Tamandua tetradactyla: one gene and its partners. The protein of the gene in region 1 purifies or fractionates together with the protein of each later gene. This does not show direct contact. Links are inferred from orthologs where the notes say so. Each region holds a gene or a part of one and is shown on either strand. Other genes may lie near its edges.

Region 1 (7,629 bases):
AGCACACCTGGCACGAGGAGCCTGGGCACTCCTGGCACTCAAAGGCCTGCACTCTACCCCGCCCTGAGCTCCATACCAAGGACCTGAGAAGGTGGGGATGAATAGCCTCACAGAAGAGGTGTCTTGGAGCAAGGAGAAAATGAAGTCAGTGCCTGAAACTGGAGTAAAGGGGGCAAGAATACTTTTCCTCCTTTGGATAAACGTCTGGAATCCTTAGTGCTGCTTCTCTGCCATTCTGGGGCGGGTAGTTATGACTGGCTGAAGCGGCCCTGATTTAGGGGGAGGCAGAGAGATGATTTGTGGACCCAAGCATCCGAGGTTGGGTGGGGCAATAGCTGGCACTAAGAGATGGGCACTGCCAAGAGGCAGACCAGTCAGAGCTTTATTCATAACAAAGCCTCCACAGTTCAACCTGGGAGCTCCTCGATGAGAGTCCTGGGAGCGGGGGGCACGGGGCCTCCCCAGAGCTGTTCCAGCTCCCCAGTGAGGGCTGCCACCTCCTCGGCGGCCACGGCATGGGCTCGGTATGCTCTAGCGCAGTCTATAGCCAAGGGGGTGAGGGCCGCCTCATTTTCGTTGGTCCAAGCCAGAAGGAACTGGCACTTCTTCCGGGCCCGGTAGAGGCGATCTCGCTCCTCCGCAGCCACGGCCCGTTTCCGGGCCCTGCCCAAAGTCTGCGCCAAGTGTCCCAGGGCTGCTAGCGTGTAGCCTTTCTGGTTGGCCCGGCCCTCGCCCAGGAGGATGCGGGAGGTCTCGTGCATGGCACCCCGGGTGCCCAGGGGCCCGGGCGAGTGTTCGCCTGCCTCCAGCACGTGGACGGCAGCCAGCAGGGCTTCTTCGGCGGAGGAGAAAACTTGCTGGGAGCCCAGAGCCCCGGAAACGCCGAGCAGCGTGGCACAATAGTCGGAGAGGAGAGCATCATCACCGCCGTGATACAGGGCAAGAGCGTGCGCGTAGGCGAACAGCACGTTGGGTAGCTGGAAGCGCACGAGGGGCGAAGCCGGTCCGCGGCTCAGGCTGGCCAGCGCGGGGATGCGGATGGGCACGGCGGGCGCGTCGACCCCTGGGGCGTCTCCAGGAACCTCTTCCGCCGGTGGCGGTGGGGTCCTTGCGGGCGCACGCTCCACCTCCACGGCGTGATTGCCCCGGGTGTCATCCACTTCTTCTAAAAGCCGCGGCCCGGCCCCGCGGCCCCACCACCACGGCTGCCATGGAGGCAGCAGTCTCCCGGCCTCGCCGCGGCTCAGCAGCCGTTCAAAGGCCGCTTTCTCGGCCGGAGCCAGCTGCTCCCAGAGTCCGGAGAGGCCGCCGGGAGGCGGGCCTGCGCTGAGGCCTGCTTCCTCGGGATCATCCTCGGTCTCGCGTTGCTGACGCAGCCGGCGTAAGGCGCTTGCCAGGCGGCTGGGCGAGGCGGTGCGGCCGCGGAGCTCGCCCAACACCTGGTCGCGGTAGAAGTCTTCGGCGCAGCTGCCATGCGCCCTGTAGCAGCGCAGCGAGCAGTAGGGCACATTACAGCGTGGGCAGGTATAGCACGCTGGCCGGGCCTCTGCGACCGGGCAGAAGGCGCAGGGCGCGACGGGATCCATGACAATTGCCTCTGATAACCAACTGCGACCGTTCACGGGCGATGCTAGGGGACTTCCGGCTCCTCTTCGATTGCTTCCGGCGCTTCTTCGGTGACTTCCGCCTCCTTGCGGAGAGGCGGGGCGCTTTCTCGCTAAGCCCTCCCGAGCACTCTCGGCTATTCCCGTCCACACTCGGGGTCCAGGCTCCACCTCTCTCCCGAGTAGCGCTTGGGCGGCCCCTGGCGAGCCCCGCCCCACGCGGTGACGTAACAGAGACCGATAGCAGGTCAGGAGTCGGAGGGTTGTCCACCCGTGCCGGCTCGCCCCTTAGTGGTTGCGCCAAAACGTGGCTGACTGCCTAAAGAAAAAAGCTGCATTTCCAATATGTAAAGCGCTGAGGCTGAAATCAATCCTCAGAACCTACTCTGGGACATAACTTGTGCAAGGCTTATGGGAGATGAAGGTGAACTGCGTCCCTGAGCTGGAGCAGCGGCTATTCCCCTAAGGAATACAGACAAGGGGCAATTCTAGTGGGAGAAAGCTCATAATGGGGTTACTTAGCCCAGCTTGAGTGTGTGGGCTGGGGGGCACCTCCCCGCATCGGCAGAAAGCATCATTTAACACCTGAGCTCGTTTGATTTTTTTCTTCCAAACTCATCTCTTCTGTCATCTTGCCATCCCTTGCCTAGCTGCTCAGCAAAAGCTTTAAGTGAGGACTCCTTACTGGGAGCCAAGAGAGATAAGGACCCTGTCCTGACGGAGTTTACAGTCTGTGAGAGAGTGGGGCATGTTATGAGATGCAAACCATCTTATGGCTGTGAAGACTTACTCCATGGCACCCCCGTAAGCCCTGGTTCTTTCTTCCCCCTCATCCCACATCCAATCCCATGTCCTGCCAGTTCTGCCTCCAAAATACCTTGTAATTAATTTTGATCATATATTTCCATGCCAAGATTTGATTCAGATTCGAAAACTTTCAAAGCTATTTATTTGTATCCCTGTTGCCTCTGATATGAATATGTTGGAAGGAGGAAAACTTGAACAGCCCCAGAGGAGTTCCACATCCAGGAACACGGAAACAATCACCTAACTAAAGATGGCTACGATTAGGTTAGCAAGGTTAGCCAACCGACACTGAAGCTTTCCAAACTGAGGCAGGCTAAGTTCCTGTCCTGGACTCCATGAAGCCTACAACTGGCCCTAAGTTTAGAGAAGGACCAAATGTGTATTTCCTAATTTATCTTCTATTTGAACCCTTCCCTCCCTTCCATTACAGACTCCATAACAAATCCTTCCACGATGATTCCTGCTACGTTCTCTGTTAAAATTTTAAGTCAGAACCCGGGGATAGAATTATGAAGTTATTTGGGACCTAGAGGCCCCCAACTCTACATCTGAAGGGCTGGCATTTTACCATTTCTTCTCCCCAGACCAAGGGCTTCTGCCTTTTCCTAATTTGACGTTGCCAATAACAAAACAAACCTCACTGTTCTCCTGTGGTGGGGGATGCACCACCAGCCCTAAAGGCCGTATTTCCACTGCTCCCTGCCTCCAGACCTTGCAAAATAAAGACAAAGCAATGACATATGGGCAAAGTGGCTTTATTAGACAAAGCCAGGACTACACAGGACTTAAGAATTGGCATTGGGGCCTTTCTTCTTGCCAAAGGTGGGCACAACGTTGACAAAACGCCGGTTGTACTGCATGCGCCGCTTGGCCCGGCCAGTCTTCTTCTTTTTCTTCTCCTGTTTGGCCACCTGGGAAAAGGGAGGGTTAATCAGAGCCTGACCAACGTGTTCAAACCTTTTATCCCTTTCCTCAGGTTCAGCCCCTGAGAGGAAGATGGCAATCAGGACAAGAGCCAAGGGTCCCAGCTTACGGTTATAGAAAATATAGTCCAAACATCACCACTCATACCCTCACTTACCTTGGGAGTCTGACCTCTCACTTTCCCAGCACGGGCCAGGGAACCATGGACTTTACCTACGGTGAGAAAAGAGAACAGCAAGCAGTTAGAGGAGCCAAAATGCCCCATCCAGCAAAATCCCTCCTTCCTCAACTTAAACTTTTAATGTCAAGCTGGGCCCAATAGGGAATGAGAACAAAACAGGAGAGATTGGTTTGCCCTTTAAGCAAGAATGTGCTGGTCTGACATACTTTGGGGTGTCACCTCAGATTTTCCAGCCCCTGACTTATAAAACTATACTATGGCTCAATCTCCCCTGAATCCCTCAAAGGTTCCACCTGAGAGGCAGAGAAGAATCACTCTAGACCGAGGGTACTTGATTAGCACTATCTGTGTTATCGCAGAAATGACAGTACACTTCCCTGACTATCCACTCCACACCCGGTGAGAACTTACAGGCAGTTCAAAGAACGCTCCTCCCCCACTCACCTCCAAGCATACGACCGGCTACTTCCAGAGTGGTCAGAGCCTCCACCCCACACTGGCCCAGTGTGGCCTCATCCTCCAGGGGCGTGCCTGCCAGGAGCACGACTTGATCTTCCGGGGCGATGCCTTCCCGGGACGCTACTTGAGCCTACATAGAAAAATGCGATTCCTAAGCGTTCCCGCAGAGAGTGAAGGGGAATGGCACAAAGGAATGGAGCCCAGGGAACACCACGCAGCCTTACCTTGATCTGGGCGACCGTCTCCTGGCCGGTCACCTCGAGGGTGTGTAGTTCCTGGGCGCGGACGAAGAGCTGCATGTTGGCGACTGAAGACAAAAGGAAAGTTTGAGCGAGACAATGTTCAGGGGGAAAGAGGGGTCGGTAATGGGTGGCGGGCCGGAGAGAATCGCGCAGGGATGGAGGTAGGCAGTCGCGGAGTCTCACGTGGGGAGTTCGGGCCTGCCAGGGAGGTTGGACGTGGGGGGGTTTTGAAACAGAGCTAGGCGCACAGAGTAGCCCTTCTTCCTCCATTTCTCTTACGCCCTCTGACCTCATGACTAATCCGCCATCAGCCCTCTAGATCCAGTCATACCTCAAGTCTTACCTGAACCGCGGTTGCTACCGCCGCTACGCCGAAGATGGAGTCGAGAAAGAGAAAGCAACGAGTGTGCACTCGACCTCACCGCCTGCTGAATGCAACGTCACTGCTGAGCGACTGCGCCGGCCCCAATTTGTACTGTTTACGGCCTTCCTGGCCCCGCCTCTTTACGCTCCGCGCAGGCGTTCTTCCAATCATTGGCGCGCGCGCAGGAGGGGGGGGGCGGGCTCAGGTGGGCGCATGCGCGGAAGGCTAACGTAGGGGGCAGGTCAAGATGGCAGCGTCCATGTTTCGAGCTACTGTGTGGGGTTGGAGAACCTGTGTCCAGCCGGGCCGCGGGATACGGCACCTGGTGAGAGCGGCCGAGCTTGGGGTTGAGGGATGAGCTGTTATTTATTGTAGCCTTGGAACCCGAGTCTCATCGGAGGCACTTGGCTGGAGCGTAGTACAAGAACAAGAGGGAAGGAGGCAGACCGGGAGCGCGGCTTCGGGCGTGTGGAAGTTAGAACCTGGTGGGAGGGAATCCTGATGAGCCAGAACTAGGAGGAGTAGTACATCGACTCTCGCTGCCCAATTTTTCGAAGAGGGAACCTTTTCACCGGGTAGGGGCCGACCCTTTGGCGACACTCCTGGGAACCCAGGGCTCCTGGTTACGTAGGCCGCTTCATCCTGCTTCCTTGCTCTTCTTGTAAATCCTGGGCCTGTCAAGACTCCGAGGTATCTGTTGGGAGAATTGTCTACAAGAAGGATCTTTAGGCTGGAAGGAGAGCAGGACGTTTTCTGGAGTGTGACTTTAGGTAGATTATTATTTTCTTAGTGTCTTACTCTTTTTTGGGTGTAAAGAGAATAGTAAAATATCTGACTTGTCGCGTTCTAATAATTAAGTAGAATCAGTGCACAATGCACTTAACATGATGCCTCGCAATGTCTCTGTGGGCCTAAAACTGTCCAGGTAGGGGGTCCTATTGTATGAATGCTGAAAGTGCCTAGCCCAGAATTAGAATTAAATAGAATGTCTAAAGGAAACTTTAAAATACTGAGAAGTGACCATTGGTCAGATTTATGGAAGAAGCAGCTCGGCCTTTCAGATGTATATGCCTATTCTCATTGAGTCCCACAGAAATCCTGAGACGCAGGGCCCTTCTGCCAGTCCTACCTGTACCCTGCTCCCTCACTAGTTGAAATCTGGTGTTTTCCCTACCTGCAGCCTTTTATTTAATCCATTTTCTCTGCCTATAATTAAGTAGAATCTACTTATTGTATTGTGTACCCATCCTGTTTTGGGTGGGTGGGTCAGTGGTCAGTGGGCTAATTGATTTTTTTTCTTTCTCAGAGCCAGACCCAGGGGCCTCCTGAATACCCCAGCTTCGTGGAGTCTGTGCATGAATACCAGTTTGTGGAGCGTCTTATACCCCCCACCAGCATTCCAAAGCCTCCGAAGCATGAACAGCTCACCCCCAGTGGCTGGCAGCCCCCTCAAGGTGAGCTGGGTGATAGGGATGGCTTGAGAAGGGCAAAAATTGGACCCAGAGCGTGACCCAAACTCCCAGGGAGGCCCTGGCCTTGATTTCATTTCTTTATTCCATTAATGTTTCTTGAGCACTTACTCAATGCCAGGCCTTTCTGTTGGGGCTTGGGGTAACGGGGTGAACACGCTAGTCCCGTGACCCTAAACTTAGGGAAAGGGGAGCCCCCTGTCCTGGAATCTGAAGGTGATATTGCCCAGGGTTGTTGACCCTCTGCAGACTCTGCAAGGGGACGGGCCCTTAGCTAAGTGGGAATGAGGCCTGGAAAGAGTTGGCTTACTGTGCCTTCCTGTCATGTCACAGACCCTCCACCCAACCTGCCCTATTTTGTGCGGCGCTCTCGGATGCACAACATTCCTGTCTACAGGGACATCACACATGGCAACCGTCAGATGACAGTGATCAGGAAGGTGGAGGGGGACATTTGGGTAAGTGGGTGAGTGGGTCAGGATCCGTCCTGACACTTTCAGGGCTGAGGGAGTGGGAGTCCCGACCTGCTTTCCCTGTCCTCTAGAGAGGGGCTCCTGGCTAGGCCTGTTAATCATCTTCCCCCAGGCCCTGCAGAAGGATGTGGAGGATTTTCTGAGCCCACTGCTGGGGAAGACACCTGTCACCCAGGTCAGCGAAGTGACAGGTACCCTGCGGGTCAAGGGGTACGTTGACCAGCAGCTCAAGGCCTGGCTCCTGGAGAAGGGCTTCTGAGGCCCTGCCGAGCGCCCTGGATTGTGACAGCATCCCTCCCAGATTGGAGGCCTTGGGGATGGGAGGTGGGTATTGGAACCAAGGAACAGGAGCTGCTTAGAGAGCAGGGCTAAGGGCTTGGACAGGGTAGGGTGAAGGATAAAGGGCCTGAGTCAGGCCTTGTCTGCATAAAGGAAGAAACGGGACTCTGCACGGCTGTCAGCAGTGGGTGAGGGATATCTACATTAGATACCCACCAGGAATAGCCAAGCTAGTGGGGGGCATTACTTGCTGTACCCCGCTTTCACTTTCCCCTCACTGAGCTCCGTAGACTCTGCTATTCCAATCCTGGGGGTGCTGACTGCTATTCTGGTGGAAGCCATAGCCCAACCCAGTTTAGGGGAGGGTAGCACGGGGCAGATCCATCAGGCACATCTCTTCCTTGGCTCTCTGGCCCTCCTGAGCTGCCTGCTACTCACATTCCCTAGCCCCTGCTCTAGGTCACAGTTGGCTTAGTTGGAAGCTACAACAGATGACTCAGGCCTGGGTCCTGCAGGTCTTCACAGGGCTGGGCACAGCCTCAATCCCTGAGCTCTCTGTACCTGATGGAGAGTTGGAGGGCCTAGCTGGAGTTCCTGTCCCTTCCAAACCAGAATTAGGTTTGACTGGCTTTCCACAATCCTGAAAATGGAAGCTCCAAGAAATTAAATGATTTGCTTTTGTTGGTGTGCCCACGAGGGGGTGCCCAATACAAGGCCATCCTCCTCAGCCTAGTGACCTGGTTTTAAGGCTGATCAGGGAGTTTGCAGGCAGGAAGATGCTGACTCTTGTCTGGTCTTCCCATTTCATGGCAAGTCCCCTTCCTTGG
Region 2 (7,116 bases), on another chromosome or scaffold:
CCCTTGGGCATATTCAGGATGACCACCGTGGCCCCTTCAAAGAACAGACGCTTGGCAAGCTCAGGATCCATCTGAATGGTGGCCATCGGGCCAGTGGTGAGTGACCAAAAGAAGAACCTTTCTTCCTTGCCTTCGCGAACAGCTGAAAAAGACACTGGTGTTAAGGAGAACTGGAGGAAGGTAGTTTCACTTGCCAAGCATTCTCTACATGTCAGATCTTGAATTACACTCCTAACATAATTATCTCCCATTAGCCTCTCCACAATCCTGCAGATAAGGAATTATGAGCCCCATTTTACAGATGAGGAAAGTGAGGCTCAGATAGAAGAGGATTTTTCTATTTTTAATGAGAAGGAACATTCACTTCATAGCTGGAAATACCTGAGTTAAAGAGGCATGATATACTCAAGGTCACAGAAGGACTCAAATTAGAACCTGGTATCCTGCTCTCCAGGCCACTGTCCTTTTGACTGTCCACTTCTAGGACATGCTTTCAGATCTCTCTGTTACAACAAAAGGTGAGGATGGAGAAAGCCTGGATGGGCTATCTTCAAACTTTAACTCTGACTGAAACCTGTTGCTGGAGAATTCCAGAAGTTGAAAGAATGATTAAATCAAGTACAAACCTATTTTTCTATAAGATTCAGTAAAGGCCCCAAAATTGACAGAAGGTTGTAATTAGGACACTATGGAGAAAAAAGTAGCATCTAAAATTCACAAAAGGTTTTGTGGAGTGGAACCACAAACCCCTCTTTTCCTTTTACTGACAAACACCGAAAGTCCAGGGAATAAAACAACTTCTCAAAAGGTCCACAGTCTGTGGCAACTCTGGACCAATTACCAGAGAGGATTCAAGCAGCATGACAGGCCTAGTATCAGTTTATTTCATCTACCTCTGAGCTACCAATGAAGACATATTGATAAAACCTCTGTATGTTCGAACACGAGGTAATTTCAACTAACTTTCTAGTCCCAAGACATCTACCTATTCACCAAACAGTCACTAAAGGCCTGCACTGTGCCAGGGACTTTGCTAGGCACTAAAGGAAATATCTACAGATTAAGACAATCACTGCCCTGTGGGCACTTATAATCAAGCTGAATGTACAAAATTTCACAAACAGAAGAGCCAGCTAATTTTCATCCTGTTTACTCTTTTTCCCCCCTTAAAACAAAACCAAACAAAATAAAACCGTGGGGAAAGGAAGACCAATGCTTTTTCCCCAAAATTGTTAAGAGCATATTTTATCATCTTAATCCAAAAGTTTTCTAAATCAATCTTTTTTTCAAACTGCCATTTTGAAGCCATTAATGGGTCATGAAACCAATTTGAAGGGTCTCAAGCAGCATTTTAAAAAATAAAGAGAATTTAAAAATCAGAGTTTACCATGAGTAGTTTTTTTTAAAAATCTGTGTGCTGGTTGCAACGTAAAATGTATTTGTTATGTAAGTTAGTAAAAAGCATTTGAAAACCACTACTCTAAATAATTTGGATCTTCATCTTTCTATCCCCAGCCTTAAATACAGAAGATAGTTAAAATGCCAATCAATAACCCATTTCCCATTGTGACACCTGTTTACTCTTCCTTAATAATTCCTTTCTTTCTAACTCCACCAGCCTGTAATTTTCTTCTCTAGCACATGGCCTGGCATGGAAGAGATGTTGAGGAAAGATTTAAAAGTGACCTACCAACCTGTCTTACAGCCCTCTGGAATGCAGAAAATCGCATCCATTCACTTCTCTCCATCACCCTAATCCAACATACGATCATCCCTCATCCAGAGAGCGCTTGCCACTCCAATGCATTCTCCATACAGTCAGAATGACCTTTGCAAAATGCCAATCTAATCATGTCCCATCCACACCTAAAACCTTCTGAGTGGCTTTCCACGTGGCTCTTGGAAAACCAAAATTCTTATCATGGCCTATATGAAGTCTGCATGGTCTCGCCCCTGGTAACCTCCCCAGCTTGGTTTCATCCCATGCTCCTCCAAAAGCTCGCTGTTTCCAGTCACACTGGTCTCTTTATGGCAGGCAAACAAGAGGCTTCCACGGGGTAGAACAGAATACTCTTCCCTCCCTTCTTTGCCAAACCATTTTTCCGATCTGACCGCTATAGTCAACTCCTTCCTAATAATGCCTCCCGACCCCGGGGTTAGGTGAGGTGTCCTTTGAGACGCTGGTGCCTCTCCTTTTCACACAATACGGTTGCAATTTTGCATGTTTGATTTAAGTTTGTCACCTCCAAGATTTGAATCCTTCTGTTCACTGCATCCACAGCACATATTAGACCCTCGATAAACATTTATTTACTAAAAGTATAACCTCTGTTTTGCAAAAGAGAAACAAAGGCTCTGCGCGGGGAAAGACCTTGCCCAAAGTCACAGAGAATAGGACACAGGCAGTTGGGGATAATTCAAGGTCTCCGGCCCCCAAACCTTAAAGTTAAGGGTGGAAAAAACGAAGTTACCCATGTATCCCGGGAAGGCGGACGGGGTCTTGGCTTCTTATGGAGAAGGGCCTCCGGAGACTCCAGCGTCCCACCACCCGGCCCACGGACCCAGACGTGGCTACCCATGCGAGGTGAAACTAATTCAGGGCACTCCGCGGTCCCGGGCCAGAAAGACAGTGGCCCCGGGCACGCAGATACCAAAAGCAGAGAAGGAAGAAATAAGCCAGGAAACCCTACTCACCGGCTCCCGCCTCGACCCAAACCTCAGGTACCACGGAAGCGCACCGGAAATCCCTCGGCTTCACCGCCGGATGGGAGCTTCGGAGAAAGACGCCCGACGGCGCCCTCAAACACGGGAGAAACGGTCCGCGCCTGCAGGTTCCGCCCCATCAAAGAGCAGCCTTGTACTGCTGTTAGTTACTCGTTTTAGTTCCTGAATCGTGGACAACGTTCATTGAACAATGCATTTTATTTCTGCCTCCAGAAACACACCCACTAGCCATAGTTCCTTGATCTCGAACAGTCCTGGTCACTGAGTCTGGGGTCAAGGTCATGGCTGCCCCTGAGACATCGACGCTCAGTCTGGGTCTCGAGCGGCTTCCAGCTGCGTTCAGCCTTTGGGGAGAGCCTTAGACAGCCAGCCCCTATCCCGGGGAGAATTATTCGCAGCTGCAGCAGGGTCTCCCGGTCAGTCCCTTTGGCCTTCATCACCGTGTGGTCTAGCGGCACAGGCCTAAGTCTAATATCTCAGTGGGGCAATAAATAAACACAGAGGGAGGGAAACTACCTGCCTTGTTTTGCACTATTTCCCTGGAGCCCAGCACAGAGCCAACCACAAAGGCTCAGCTCAGTACATGTGTTATGCACTTAATTAATAATGACAGTAATTCAATATTAAGAAAAAGAAAAGAAAATCTTCTATTCCTAGGCCTAGCCCTGTGATAGATGGTTGTGTTAGTCAGGGTTCAACTAATCAAAGAAGCAGACCCCGGAGGAGATCTATATTAAGACAGTTATTGCAAGGAAATGGCTTATGTGATTGTGAGGGCTAGCTAGTCAAATCTGAAATCCGTAGGGCAGGGTGTTGGGAAGAGCAGGCTGGGAAGCTCCTGCATGAGTGGAAGCTGCTGTTCAGAAGCAGAATCTCTTCTTCAGGGAAGCCTGAGCTCTGCTTTTAAAGCCTTTCAATCGATTAAATCAGGCCTACCAGATTATCTAGGACAATCTCTCTTAGAGTCAACTGCTGATTTTAATCACGTCTACAAAATACCTTCATAGCAATTCCTAAATTGCTGTCTGATTAGATAACTGGGGATTGTAGTTGAGTTGACGCATCCGAAAGATCCTCACAGTGGTGTACACTTATTTTCTAATCCCTTCAGACACCCTATGAAGTAGACTCTATCCCTGTAAGTCAGACTTTTTCCTTGTAACTCATGTCCTAGGAAACCGGGTATATTGCCTAGTTCATTCCACTCCTGGGATATTATTTCTAATCCTTACACTAACCCTAGTATACCCAATTTACAGAAGAGAAAACTGAGGTTCAGAGAGGTTACACAGCCAGAGAGCGGCAGAGCTAGTATGCAAACCAGGGTCTGACTGGTTGTTGTTCCTGTGCTGTCACTCCTTAGCTTGTCTGTGTGCTTTCTCATTGACAGCTGGCCACGCCAATTTGCCTCAGTCAAAATCCATCTCTTAGTGGACTGTAGGCTGCAGTCATGGTTAATCATGATGAGCTGCCACAGGATTAAGCAGATATGGACTCCATCAGTCATGGTCATGTGGGCCAATCTCAGCCTGTCACATCAGTTCCATTTCCTGCCTGAAGAAGTTTAGCTCTCTCCTGACTCCAAATCTTGGGTGCTGAACTCCACAGTTTTGTCTCAGACCTGCCTATTTTAAGTGGGCTCGCTATCTTCTCAGAGACTCAGGGTACCACACATACAAATGAAGCTGTAGATGATTCCCCTGGAATCCCACCCGTTGGTCGCAGGTCCATTTAGATCGGGGTTTTGCAACCTTGGCACCACTGCCTTTTTGGGCTGGATATTTCTTTATTGACTGGGAAACTGTTCTGTGCATTGTGAGATGTTTAGCAGCATCCCTAGCCTCTAACTACTACATGCCAGTAGGAAATCTCGGTTATGACAACTAAAAACGTCCCCAGGCAGGGTAGGGTGGTGTGTTGAGAACAACTGATCTAGGTAAGTAAGTCCCAAATTATTCCCAAGAAGCTCAGAGGCTGGCCCTGTATTTATGGGAGACAAGAGATACAGATCCAGGCTGTGTGGGGTTCTGAGGAATTGTGTGGGGACTCAATGCTTGCAGACCAATTTCTATTCCAGAACCCCCAGCGGGTGACAGCTAAAGGAAATCTAAAGAGAAAATGCAAAGAATGATTCAGAGCTCTCAGCAGCAATTGCCTCTGGCCTTGGACAGGGTTCTGGAGAAGGCTGAAGATTTACTTTTCACTGCCTTTTGTGTGATTTATTGAATTACCTTTCCAAAGTAAAGAAATAGTATTTGGTATTTGGAATTATGGAAGAATATAGGATATAAAAGAAACATCTAGAACGGTATGTACATTGCGACCTCAAATTTGTGAGAAAAAAAATACATATTCATGGGAAAAGACTGGAAGAAAAGGCATTGTATTATTAGCAGTGGTTCTTGCTTGGAAGACTTGGGCAATAGAGAAAGGTGGTCTGGGGTGACTCACGTGAGGGAATAAAAAGCCAAGTGTGGAATGTGTGCCTCGGATGGCCCAAGACATGAGTTTACATTTCACATGGATTATGGTTTTTTTATTTTAAAACTTGTCCATTTTTACTTTTACGAGAACTTCCATTCTTTGGAAAATGGTGCTAATTTTCTCTTTGTGGATATAGTAATATAGTTTCCGTTTTAAAAAATTTAATGTTTAAAAGTGAGTCAATTTAAAGAAAAATGGCAAGTCTATAAGGAGACAGGGGATACCAGGATATGGCAGCATTTGTGGAAGTGGCAGGCAAAGACTAACACTGGAGCTGTGGTATATGTTATGCATTAGGCTTCTGGGAGGGGAGTTGCAGGAAGAGCGACATCCCCATGAAGGCAGGAGGAGGAGAGGCCAAGCTATCCCTCCACACACTAAGCCCCTCCATGTCGTGGGACCCCACGTGGTGTTCTCTCTGCCCAGAATGCTGTCGCCCAGGTTCATTACCTTAACTGGCTCTTTCTCTTCATTCAGCTCAACATCAATTCCTCTGGAAGGCCTTCCCTGCCCCCCTTATTGAAAGGGGTCTCCTTCAGAGATCCGTCCCCACCACTGGTTTTGTTCCCACCTGCTGTTGATCACTCTGTCATTGTCTTTGACTGTTCCTGCGTTTTGGGGTCTATCTCCTCCGCTAGCCTGTGAGTTCCTGAAGGGCAGGTCTTTGTGTTATTCGCTGTTGTACTTGCAAAACGTAACCCAAGATTTGGAACACCCTGGGAGCTCTCAATATTTGTCGAGTAAAATGTTCTAAGTTGGGTTGTTTCCATCCCAGCCTTAGCTCTTCCCACAGGGCTGGCGTGTGCAGGGAGCCAAGGTTTGAGACAGAGAGGACACAGTAGTGTGTGGTTCAGCATCAAACACATTTATTTCACTTTTATTGAGTATACAAGAACAGAGAGCACACGCATACAGCACGGAGCACTGAAGTGTGGGAGCGCGGGTACGAGAGAGGAGAGAGGGACGTGAGGAAAGGAACAGGACAGCATTGCAGTTGGTTGGAAAGGTGCTTTTGGAAAAAAAAATATATTTAGGATGATGTTGCTCATGCAATTTCAGGCCAGTCTTGGAATGTGCTTGCAGGATTAAAAAAACTGAAACAGGTCCTGGAACTTCCTGTACCCTTGGATGGAGAAGATCCCAAAAGAGCAAAATAAGAGAAAATGAAGCTACGGAAGTTGGCAGAGTGGAAAAAAACCCTGGGGAGCATCTGGTTCAGGCCACTGATTTCCCACATGGGGAAACTGAGGCCCAAGAGGGAATGGGACTCACCCAGTGTCCCATATGAGTTAGGGGCTGAGCTGGGGTGGCTCCCCAGAACCCCCAGTGGCCCTCCTGGGACTTTCCCCACACCACCACATGGCTTTCTGGGCAGAGAGGCTGCACAGAAAGGATGAGAACCATAAAAAAAAAAGAAAAAGAAAAGTAGGCTGAAGACAGACAAGATACATTCTATATTCCCTGTGAAGAGGAGGATGGGGAGGAAATGGTGCCCTAGATTTCAGCTTCGCAGCTCCTCTCATCCCTAGTGGCACTGCTTGGAAGATCTCAGGACACCCCTGCCAGCCCACACCCTAAGCTGGTCACTGTGTCCCCTCCCACCACCTCACACCTAGAGTCTGCAGGCAGGTGCCTCTGGGGGAGCAGGTTAGAGGCAAAACCTGGAACAAAGACCCTCCCTCTGACCTATGTCCAGGGTGCTCAGGCCACCCAATTCCTGCAAAGACAGAGAGGCCCAAGCCAAATTCCAAGTGGCCCAGCAAGGATGGACCACCCCAGCTCCTTTCTTAGCCCCAAAGGAGTGAGAGCTCTCAAGTTGAGAAAGGCAAGAAGTTTCTGTAGCTCCCCCCCTGCCCCCCCCCCCCATGCTGTAAAACGAATCCGCTGCGTGGAATGCGTGGTCTAGCA
Region 3 (7,975 bases), about 7.2 Mb from region 1:
GCAGGGCCTCGGCAGCGGCCAGAGTGACCTAGCTGGGCAGTCGTTCTGTCAGGCCTCAGTTTCTGGGCCCTCGGGGCTGCTGCCTTTATTCCGGAAGTGCTCTCTACTCCGCTTTTTGCTACCATGGAAGCCAACAGCCTCCACCACTGGGGGCCCCCCAGGGTCAAGCACTGACTCACTGCGGGCAACCTCCTCGGGCAGCCCCCCCTCAGTCTCAGGACTTGCCACTAGATGGGCCAACTCCACGGAGTCCTCGGCCTCTGCCAGCCCCAGGTCCCCAGGGACACTCCTGCCTGGCCCTCCTGCCTTGCCCAGGACCCTCTTCCTCTCAGGTCTGGCCTCACCAGCCCGGGCCGGTTTGGAAAAGATGATTCTTCCTTCCCCGCGGCTGGAGGGGTCCTGGTTGAAGGAGGGCGCATAGTGAGTGGGGGCAGCCGGGCCCCGGGAGCCCAAGAATGCCAGGGCTGCAGCCTTGTTGCTCTGCTCGCTGGCTTCGGCCACGTCCTCCAGGCTGTACCTGGTCCAGCGCTCGGGGTGGGTCACGTAGTCAGGGACAGATGGTGCCCTCAGGGGAGCAGGGTTTCGACCAGACCTACCCAGGGCCTCTCTGAGAGGCTGGCTGGGGGGCACAGGGGGCAACTTGAAGTCCCCATCGTCACCCACGCTGGTGACATGGGCCAGAGAGGGCAGGGCCTGCTTGGCCGCCCCCTCCAGGCAGTCAAAGATGTCCCGGCTGCGCTGCGAGAAGGTGGAGCTCATGCCTCTCAGGTGGAACAGCTGGACGGGGGCTCCTGGGAGGTCCAAGGGGAGACTGGGGGGCTCATCAGGCTCAGAATCCCCACCAGCTTTACCAGGCAGCCCCTCAGGGGACAGAGCTTCCACCTCAGCACCGACCGGCAGGCTGAGGTCCGAGTCCGACTCCGAGTCGCTGAGGGAGACTGTGTCAGAAGGCAGGGCATCATACTCTGCCCCACGCTCGGCATCCAAGCTGGGGGACGGCTCGCCTGCCCCTGCCTCCGCCATGTGTGCCGAGGGCTGCACCACACCTAGACGCAAACAGCCCAGGGACTTAGAGCTGCCTCTACAGAGAAAGGGCCTGGGTCCCACCCTTACCCATGGATAGCCCTCTCTCACCTCCCTCGTTTCCTGGACGCTTGAAGCTGGTGCCTAAGTGCTGGCTGGCGAGGCAAAGGCGCCCTGACCCAGTTCCGCGGCTGCAGAGGCGAGGTCTTCCCAGTCCCAGGAGACTCCCCAGCACGGCTCTGCTTGGCTGCTCAGCTACAGCTGGATGAGGGTTGGGGAAGAGACTCAACCATCAGGCCAGAGAGTGAGCGTGCAAAGTGGCACTCACGAGGGAGCCTGTGTTCACCATGCCCCCAGTGCATGCTAGGCACTGCAGGAGGCACTACCAACACATTACTTCACTTAATTCCAATAACCCTCTTAAGACAACATCGTCTTAAGTGCAGGCTGCAGAGATGGAGGCTCAGCAGACTCACTGGCCTACTTGGGGGTGGGGGGGATTTCACTGGTCCACAACTCAGCTAGGGTCTGAGCCTAGGATGAGGACAGCCTCTGCTCACGTACTGCAGGGCCCTTGACGAACTGCTTAACAGAGTACCCAGCACAGACTCAGTATCCCACAGAGGTCGGGGCACCTTCCTGGTCCATGGGCAGGAAGTTGGCATGTACTTGCAGGGAACTGCCCTGGGAGCTCTGAAGAGATCAAGACCTTCGCATCCAAGTCTTGGAAAACTGGGGAGTCAGTGACCACCTGGAGCAGCTTTTCTGACAAACAGGCCCTAGGCAGCTTCTGGAACAACCTCCATTCCGCATCTCCCCTGCGGCATCCAGGCAGTCAGAGAAGTGCTGGAGACACAGGCAGGGTCTGGCGTCTCTGGGAGGCTTGGAGCTTGGCTGACCGCAGGCTGAGGACAGCGCGGCCTCGCCCCCAGCCAATCGCCACCACCACCTCCTCCTGCCCAGCTTCGCTGGCTGCTGCACCCTGAGGATGCAGACAGGCCAGGAGGGGCTGAGAGCTCCCTGCCGGGCCAGACACGGGGAGATCTCAGGGTAGGAATAATCGGCCTAAGTTACCCAGTTCCAGCCGGACTCTGCTTCCCCAATTCGCACTGTCCTCTGCACCCCGGGGACGCTGCCGCGACTAATCAAAGTAGCCTGGTGGGCGGGACTCCTGGAATAAAGGAAATTCAGCTAGCGGAGCGCAGAGTTGAGCGGAGGCTGAGGGTCTAGGCAGCCGGGGACAGGGGGCAGCTTCCTACGGTTGTCTCTCCCCTCGGGACCCAGCGAGCTAGCACGCGCAGGCTCCCCACGTCGGGGAACCACGGGACGGCTCTCGGGAGCCGGTAGATTCTGGCCGGATAGGTCCCGAAGGCCAGGCCGCGAAGGGAGGGGGTCCTGTGTGCCGCGGGACCTCTGGGCTCGGGGATGCGGACAGCCGCCTCCCAGCCACAACCTACCAGCTCTCGGCGGCCTTCGCCTCCATCTTGATGGGCGCGCCCGCCGGGTCGCCGCGCTCGGCCTTCTGGGAAACCGAGTCCTCTGAGGCCGAACGCGGCGGCTCCCGCGGCCAGAGAACTACAACTCCCACAAGGCACTGGGGGCGCGGCGCCCGAGGCATGCCGGGACTGCTAGGCCAGGGGGCGTCGGCGTGCGCGCTCCCTATAATCTCCGCGCGCTGGGGGCTAACAGCCCAGGCAGCGGCGGCGCTTCTTCTAGAACGAAGCCCGAACTGACTCAGACGCGGAGGGGTGCGGGGGCCCGGGCTGCGACACTCACAATCCTGAGGGCTAACGGCCAGCGTGAAGCTCCAGGCGTCCCAACACCACCAGGGGAGGGGGGCCGCAGGGAGAGCGCGACGGCCCACGCCGGAAGCGCGGCCTCGAGCGCCGCTAAGCGGGGTGGGTCCTTCGGACCTCAACCGGAAGAGGCGGTGCCTCGCGCCTCAGCCGGAAGGGGCGGTGCCTCGCGGGTGCTGTAGTCCGAGTTTCAGCTCCGGGGCCGTCTGCCGGCGCTCGTGCGCTTTCCGCCGCGTTCCCGTCCCCGCCTCGGCCAGCTGCCGTGCCAGCTCCGCTCCGGGCCTGGCTGCAGCCGACACGTAATGCGGGCGCAGTCTGGGCACCCCGCTGGCCTGGGTGCCTCCCACCCGCATCCCAGGCGCTCCCCGACCCCGGCCCCGCGGACCTCCTGGTTCCCTCAGGGACGCGGCCGCGGCCAGCCATCCCCGCCACGTGGGCTCTGACGACAGCGGGCCCCATCTGGGCTTTCTACCCGGGGCACTGACGGCGCGCCTGCCTCCTTCGGTCACCGGGGAGACGCGCCTCAGGGGAAGTGAAAGGGAGACCTGCAGGTGGGGAAGCCAGGGCCCAGCGTTCGCCTGGCTGCGTCCTCCCAGGGCCCCCGGGGAGAGCCCGAGTAGGCCTGGGGGCCGTGGCCCGGACGGCCCCGCCTCGGGAGGCTGGCAGCCTGTTGGAGGGGCCCGCTGCTGTGAGGCAGGTCACGTCCGCACAGCAGAGAAGGAGGTCCTGGTCTCCCTTCCCCCGGGACGGCTGATGAGCCCATCCGTGAGGCCCCTCAGCTGCCCAGCTCCACTTTTAGGGGGACGGGGTGGTGGTCGAGAGAACCTGCCCTTTTCCCCGGCCTGGCCTCTCCTGGGAACCCAAGGACTCAAGGTCCTGTGTGGTCCAGCCCAAAAAAGACCCAGAGGGGTTTGAGACGTGCCCCCTCTCAGTCCCTGATGTGCTGGGCAACCCTGAAATACCCCATTTGTGAGGCTCAGTCCCCACCTGCCTCATCAGGATCCCACTGTCGAGTGAACCATAAACTTACTTTTGGACCCCACGTCTCATCCTGCAGCATGCCATACGCGAGGCTATACCCAGACCACCAGGCCACAGTCTTGGGCAGGGATCCAGGGGCAGCAGAAGGGGCTCCTTGGACCATCCTGTGCTGTCCCAACCTGCCCGAGCGTCAGTAGTAGGGAATGGGGGAGGCCTGCTGAGACCCCGGGGCAGGACTGGAAGTCCCTGACATAGTCAGATAGGCACTTGTCAGGACTATCCCTGACATAGTCAGATGGGCACTTGTCTCTGGGGGCCCAGCTGAGCTCATGACACCTTCACTCAGCATCCTTGGGCTCCCAGGGAGCGGGGGACCAGGCAGCAGGGTCTGGGCTGCACTCACTGAAACCTCTAGAACAGAAAGACCTCCGTGGGCCCAGGGAGCAGGCCAGGTGGTCTTCCCCACCAACCCTACTCCAGCCTCCCAGCTTCTCCTGATGGGCAGTGAAGAGTCCCTCACCCCTTCAGGAGGGGAACATGTCAGAAGGAAGGGGAAGGAGTGCTAGCACCAGGCATCCATGCCAAATCCTTGCAGTCCCAGGCAGACAGCAGCCCCAGAGCAGCCCTGGTGCTCTCAGATGGGGTGTGGGGCTCTGACGAGCATGAGGAAAACCCAAGGCTGGAACAGCCCTCAGAAGCAGGGAGGAGTGGGGGGTGGGATCTTGTAGCCACATGGACCGTTGTCCAAGGACCATGGGTCCACCATTGCCAGGTCGGGTCCAGAGCCAGCTGGGGCCCCCCAGGCCTCTAGCCATCCCCGGGGTGTGGCATTGCCTGGCACAGGAAGGGGCTCGGGCAGCCACGTTAGCATGCCTGGTTTTCCTTTTTTATTGAATGACTGTTCCAAGATGTTACAGTTACAGTTGAAGATGACATGTTAGAAAGGATAGCTGCAAGAAGGCATACGGGTGCTCTAGAAAAGGGGTGGGAGGAGGAACGCGGATTAAAAAAGGCGGGAGACGCCCAGCCCCCAGGTCAGGCTGGGGTGGGAGGACACAGCCCATCAGCCGGGACAGGTGCCCCCCTGGACAGCTGTGCTGGACAGACAGAGCCCCCAAGGCAGGGACTCCTCGTGGACCCCTCCCCTGCTTCCCCAGGCTGGGCCCAGGCCCTTCTCCTGCCACCTACGCCTGGCGCAGGCCCCAAAAGGGTAACAGGAAACCAGAACAAAACAAAACCTCAAAAGTAAAAATGCTAAGTATAGCAGGGTAATACCGGAAACGTTATATACACAGGTGGTGCCAGGGGCCGCCTAAGAGATGGCCGGGTCATGAGGGGAGGGCCGTGGGGGTCCCACTGGCTGGCTGCTACCCTCTGCCCTCCCCCACCCCACAGCCAGGGCTGCCGGGGCCTCAGTACACGGAGCTGTTCCGGATGCCGCAGCACAACACCATACTCAAGATCATCTCGAAGATCTGCGGGGACAGGGGTGGGCACGTGAGGTACAGGGAGATAGTGACTGGCCCCCCAGACCCCCGCGGCCCAGAGTCCCAGCCCCCACCCGCCCGAGCCGGCTCACCATGATCACAGCAACCACAATGGCGGCGATGCCGATAAGGTACAGCTTTCCCGAGAAGAGGTCGTCGATCTTCTGGTGACAGTCCTCCTGTGGGGAACACAGGAGTCATTAGGGCTGCAGGGCACCAGCCCTTGGCTCACTGTCCCACCCCCCTGCCCACACCCTCCCTCCTGGTGCTACAAAGCTTCACAGAAAAAGTATGGGAAATACAGGAAAAGCACCAAAGGAGCTTGCCCCTGCCTCCTCCTAGCCATGTTGGGCCAGTGCGCACCACCCCCCTGCCCCCAGCTCAGAGCCCCTTGCACCCATCTGGGGGCCTGCACGGTCACAGTGGCCTCCCAGGGGCACCAGGAGTGCCGGCCTCTCACATGGGGCCGTAGATGGCTGCCTGGGGGAGCCTGCAAGCTGCCCAACTCCTCATCCCCAGATCCCCAGACAGGTCCCCCCAGAAAGATGTGTTCAACTTGTCGCCCCACCCAGCGGGCGCATGCCCACGGGAAATGGGACCTCTGCAGAGAGGCCCAAAGGGACTGGGGTGGGCCCTACACCAATGGGACTGAAGGCCTCACACGCTGGGGACATTGAAACTCGGCCAGGGAAGGCGAAGGGGCCGCCGGGGAAGCAGCAGGCTAGTGCCGGCACAGCACACAGCCTGGGAGAAAGACCCTGGCGCTTTAGACGCTGTGAGACAAGCCCCCAGCAGGCAGCTTTGTCCTGGGAGCCCCAGCAGACGGAGATAGCAGATGCCATGGCCTTCCTCGGCCACACCTTGACCCCCCAGCCACAGTGTCCCAGCAAGGGGCAGCCTGCCCACGCTGGCCAGGGACCCGCCACCCAGAAACAGTCAGGCCCAGCCCCACTCCTGCCTCAGGGGTCGCCCCGAGGGGCGTGACGTACCTTGAGGAAGTTGCTGATGATGTTGCTGCCCGATGGACAGAGGTTATTCTTGGTCAGTGTGCTGGCCAGCATGGTCAGGGTGCTGGAGCCACAGCAGTTGAGCTGCAGGGAACGAGGGCAGTGGTTGGGCCAGGGCGTCACGCCTTCCCACCAGCCCTCGGCCGGGACAGAGTGATGGGGTGCGGTGAGGTCTGGGGGATGCTGAGGACCCCAGGATCAAGCAAAGGGCGGAAAACTGGGCCCCAGCAGCACCCCGTCTGGGTTCCCAGGGGTGCAGAGCTCAGGGGACCAGGCTCCTGCCTCCCGCAGCTCCAGGCTGAGGCCAGGACCTGACCCCCGGCCCCCGCACCGTCTCATGGAAGGTCTTCACGACGGTCTTAGCCTTGTTGTCGTCGTCGTCCACCACAGCCTGCTGCAGCGCCTGGTCGTAGAACTGCTTCACGTCCTTGGCGATCTGGGGGGCGGGCGGGCACCCCTCAGTGGAAGCGGTGCACCCACACTCCCAGGAGGCAGGGACACGGCCCCGCTCTGCCCGCGGCTCAGCCCCGAGGCCGCCTCCCCCAGAAAGCCCTCCGTGACTTTGCTCTCAGCCCCGAGGCTGCCTCCCCCAGGAAGCCCTCCGTGACTTTGCTCTCAGGTGGGCCCCAGGGGAGCCCATCCCCGGCTAAGGGCCAACCCGCCCGCCCACACCTGAGCACAGGGCCCTCTCCGCTGCCCCCCCAGGCTCTGGCTCACCTGGTCTTTGTTGACGAAGCCCCAGATGCCAGCGGCCACTTCACAGGCAAAGAGGATCACCAGGCAGGTGAAGAACTGGGTGGGGTGGGGGAGGGTGCAACATCAGAACAGGACAGGACACCCAAACAGCCCACGTTCCGGACCAGACCCCAGGGTCTGCCCGCTGACCCTTCCCCAGGCCCGCGAGAAGCACTGCCTACTCCATCTCCCAGGCTTGTCCATGAGAACTGCAGCTGCTCCTGGGCCTGCCCCATGACCCCCAATCTCCTGAGGATCCCAGGCCCGCCCTCACCCTGTCCCTCAGTCCCTGCCCCCCCACACCTCCCCTGTAGTCCCCAGGTCCACCCCACAGTCTCCCCACTAGCCCCAGCCCGGCCATGGCCCCCCTGCCAGTCCCTGCCTGACCCCACCCTCCCACGGTCCCCAGCCCACCCCAAGCCCCCTGTGGCCCCCGACCCAGTGCCCCGCCAAGCTCTCACAGTCCCCAGCAGACACTGTGACTCCTGGATAGCTCCGTAGCAGCCCAGGAAGCCAACGAACATCATCACGGCGCCCACAGCGATGAGAATGTAGATACCTGGGGGAGGGGGCGTGGTCGGCTGTGTAGACGCAGTGGCTGGCGCCCCAACAGCCTGAGAGCAGGTGCAGTGAGGCGGAGCCCCTGTCCCCCGCAAGCTGGCAGGGCAGCACCCTTTCTGCCGCTGTCAGCATCAGCACTTGGCCGCCTGTCCCCAGGGGCTGCACTGTGACAACTGCCCCAGGATGCCCTTATCAGACAAGGTGGCCGCGCTGGTGGGGGGCAGGGGTCCCTGGTCCCAGGACAGCACAGTGACAGAGTGGCAGGGAGCACTCAAGAAGGGCCAGGGGTCCGTGTCTCCTCCTCCCTCCCTCCCACCTCCTGCAGCCCTAGGTGGGCTCTCCATGGTGGGGGCGGTGCTGAAGGGCAGGGGCTGCGCCCGCTGAC

The links.
Region 2: the proteins of ZNHIT2 (region 1) and AAR2 purify together in Homo sapiens (affinity purification with mass spectrometry; 3 studies listed by BioGRID and IntAct, counting the BioPlex papers as one, with this or other methods). This does not show direct contact. The link is inferred for Tamandua tetradactyla from reciprocal best matches to the Homo sapiens genes ZNHIT2 and AAR2.
Region 3: the proteins of ZNHIT2 (region 1) and TSSC4 purify together in Homo sapiens (affinity purification with mass spectrometry; 3 studies listed by BioGRID and IntAct, counting the BioPlex papers as one, with this or other methods). This does not show direct contact. The link is inferred for Tamandua tetradactyla from reciprocal best matches to the Homo sapiens genes ZNHIT2 and TSSC4.

What each region holds. Positions count from the first base shown.
Region 1 is NC_135335.1:9,458,944-9,466,572, reverse strand, and holds ZNHIT2 (zinc finger HIT domain-containing protein 2), read right to left. Parts: upstream 3,054-7,629; 5' UTR 1,587-3,053; coding exon 408-1,586; 3' UTR 369-407; downstream 1-368. Other genes in the region: FAU (ubiquitin-like FUBI-ribosomal protein eS30 fusion protein), read right to left, coding at 3,197-3,322, 3,493-3,548, 3,961-4,105, 4,200-4,274; MRPL49 (large ribosomal subunit protein mL49), read left to right, coding at 4,829-4,906, 5,888-6,035, 6,384-6,508, 6,636-6,782. UniProt on the Homo sapiens protein: May act as a bridging factor mediating the interaction between the R2TP/Prefoldin-like (R2TP/PFDL) complex and U5 small nuclear ribonucleoprotein (U5 snRNP).
Region 2 is NC_135327.1:16,166,459-16,173,574, forward strand, and holds the start of AAR2 (protein AAR2 homolog), read right to left. Parts: upstream 3,008-7,116; 5' UTR 2,695-3,007; intron 143-2,694; 5' UTR 87-142; coding exon 1-86. UniProt on the Homo sapiens protein: Component of the U5 snRNP complex that is required for spliceosome assembly and for pre-mRNA splicing.
Region 3 is NC_135335.1:2,280,591-2,288,565, reverse strand, and holds the start of TSSC4 (U5 small nuclear ribonucleoprotein TSSC4), read right to left. Parts: upstream 3,008-7,975; 5' UTR 2,800-3,007; intron 2,586-2,799; exon of another isoform or gene 2,481-2,585; intron 2,195-2,480; exon of another isoform or gene 2,098-2,194; intron 1,285-2,097; 5' UTR 1,135-1,284; intron 1,047-1,134; 5' UTR 1,024-1,046; coding exon 49-1,023; 3' UTR 1-48. Other genes in the region: CD81 antigen, read right to left, coding at 5,213-5,275, 5,380-5,466, 6,277-6,378, 6,626-6,730, 7,012-7,086, 7,491-7,588. UniProt on the Homo sapiens protein: Protein associated with the U5 snRNP, during its maturation and its post-splicing recycling and which is required for spliceosomal tri-snRNP complex assembly in the nucleus.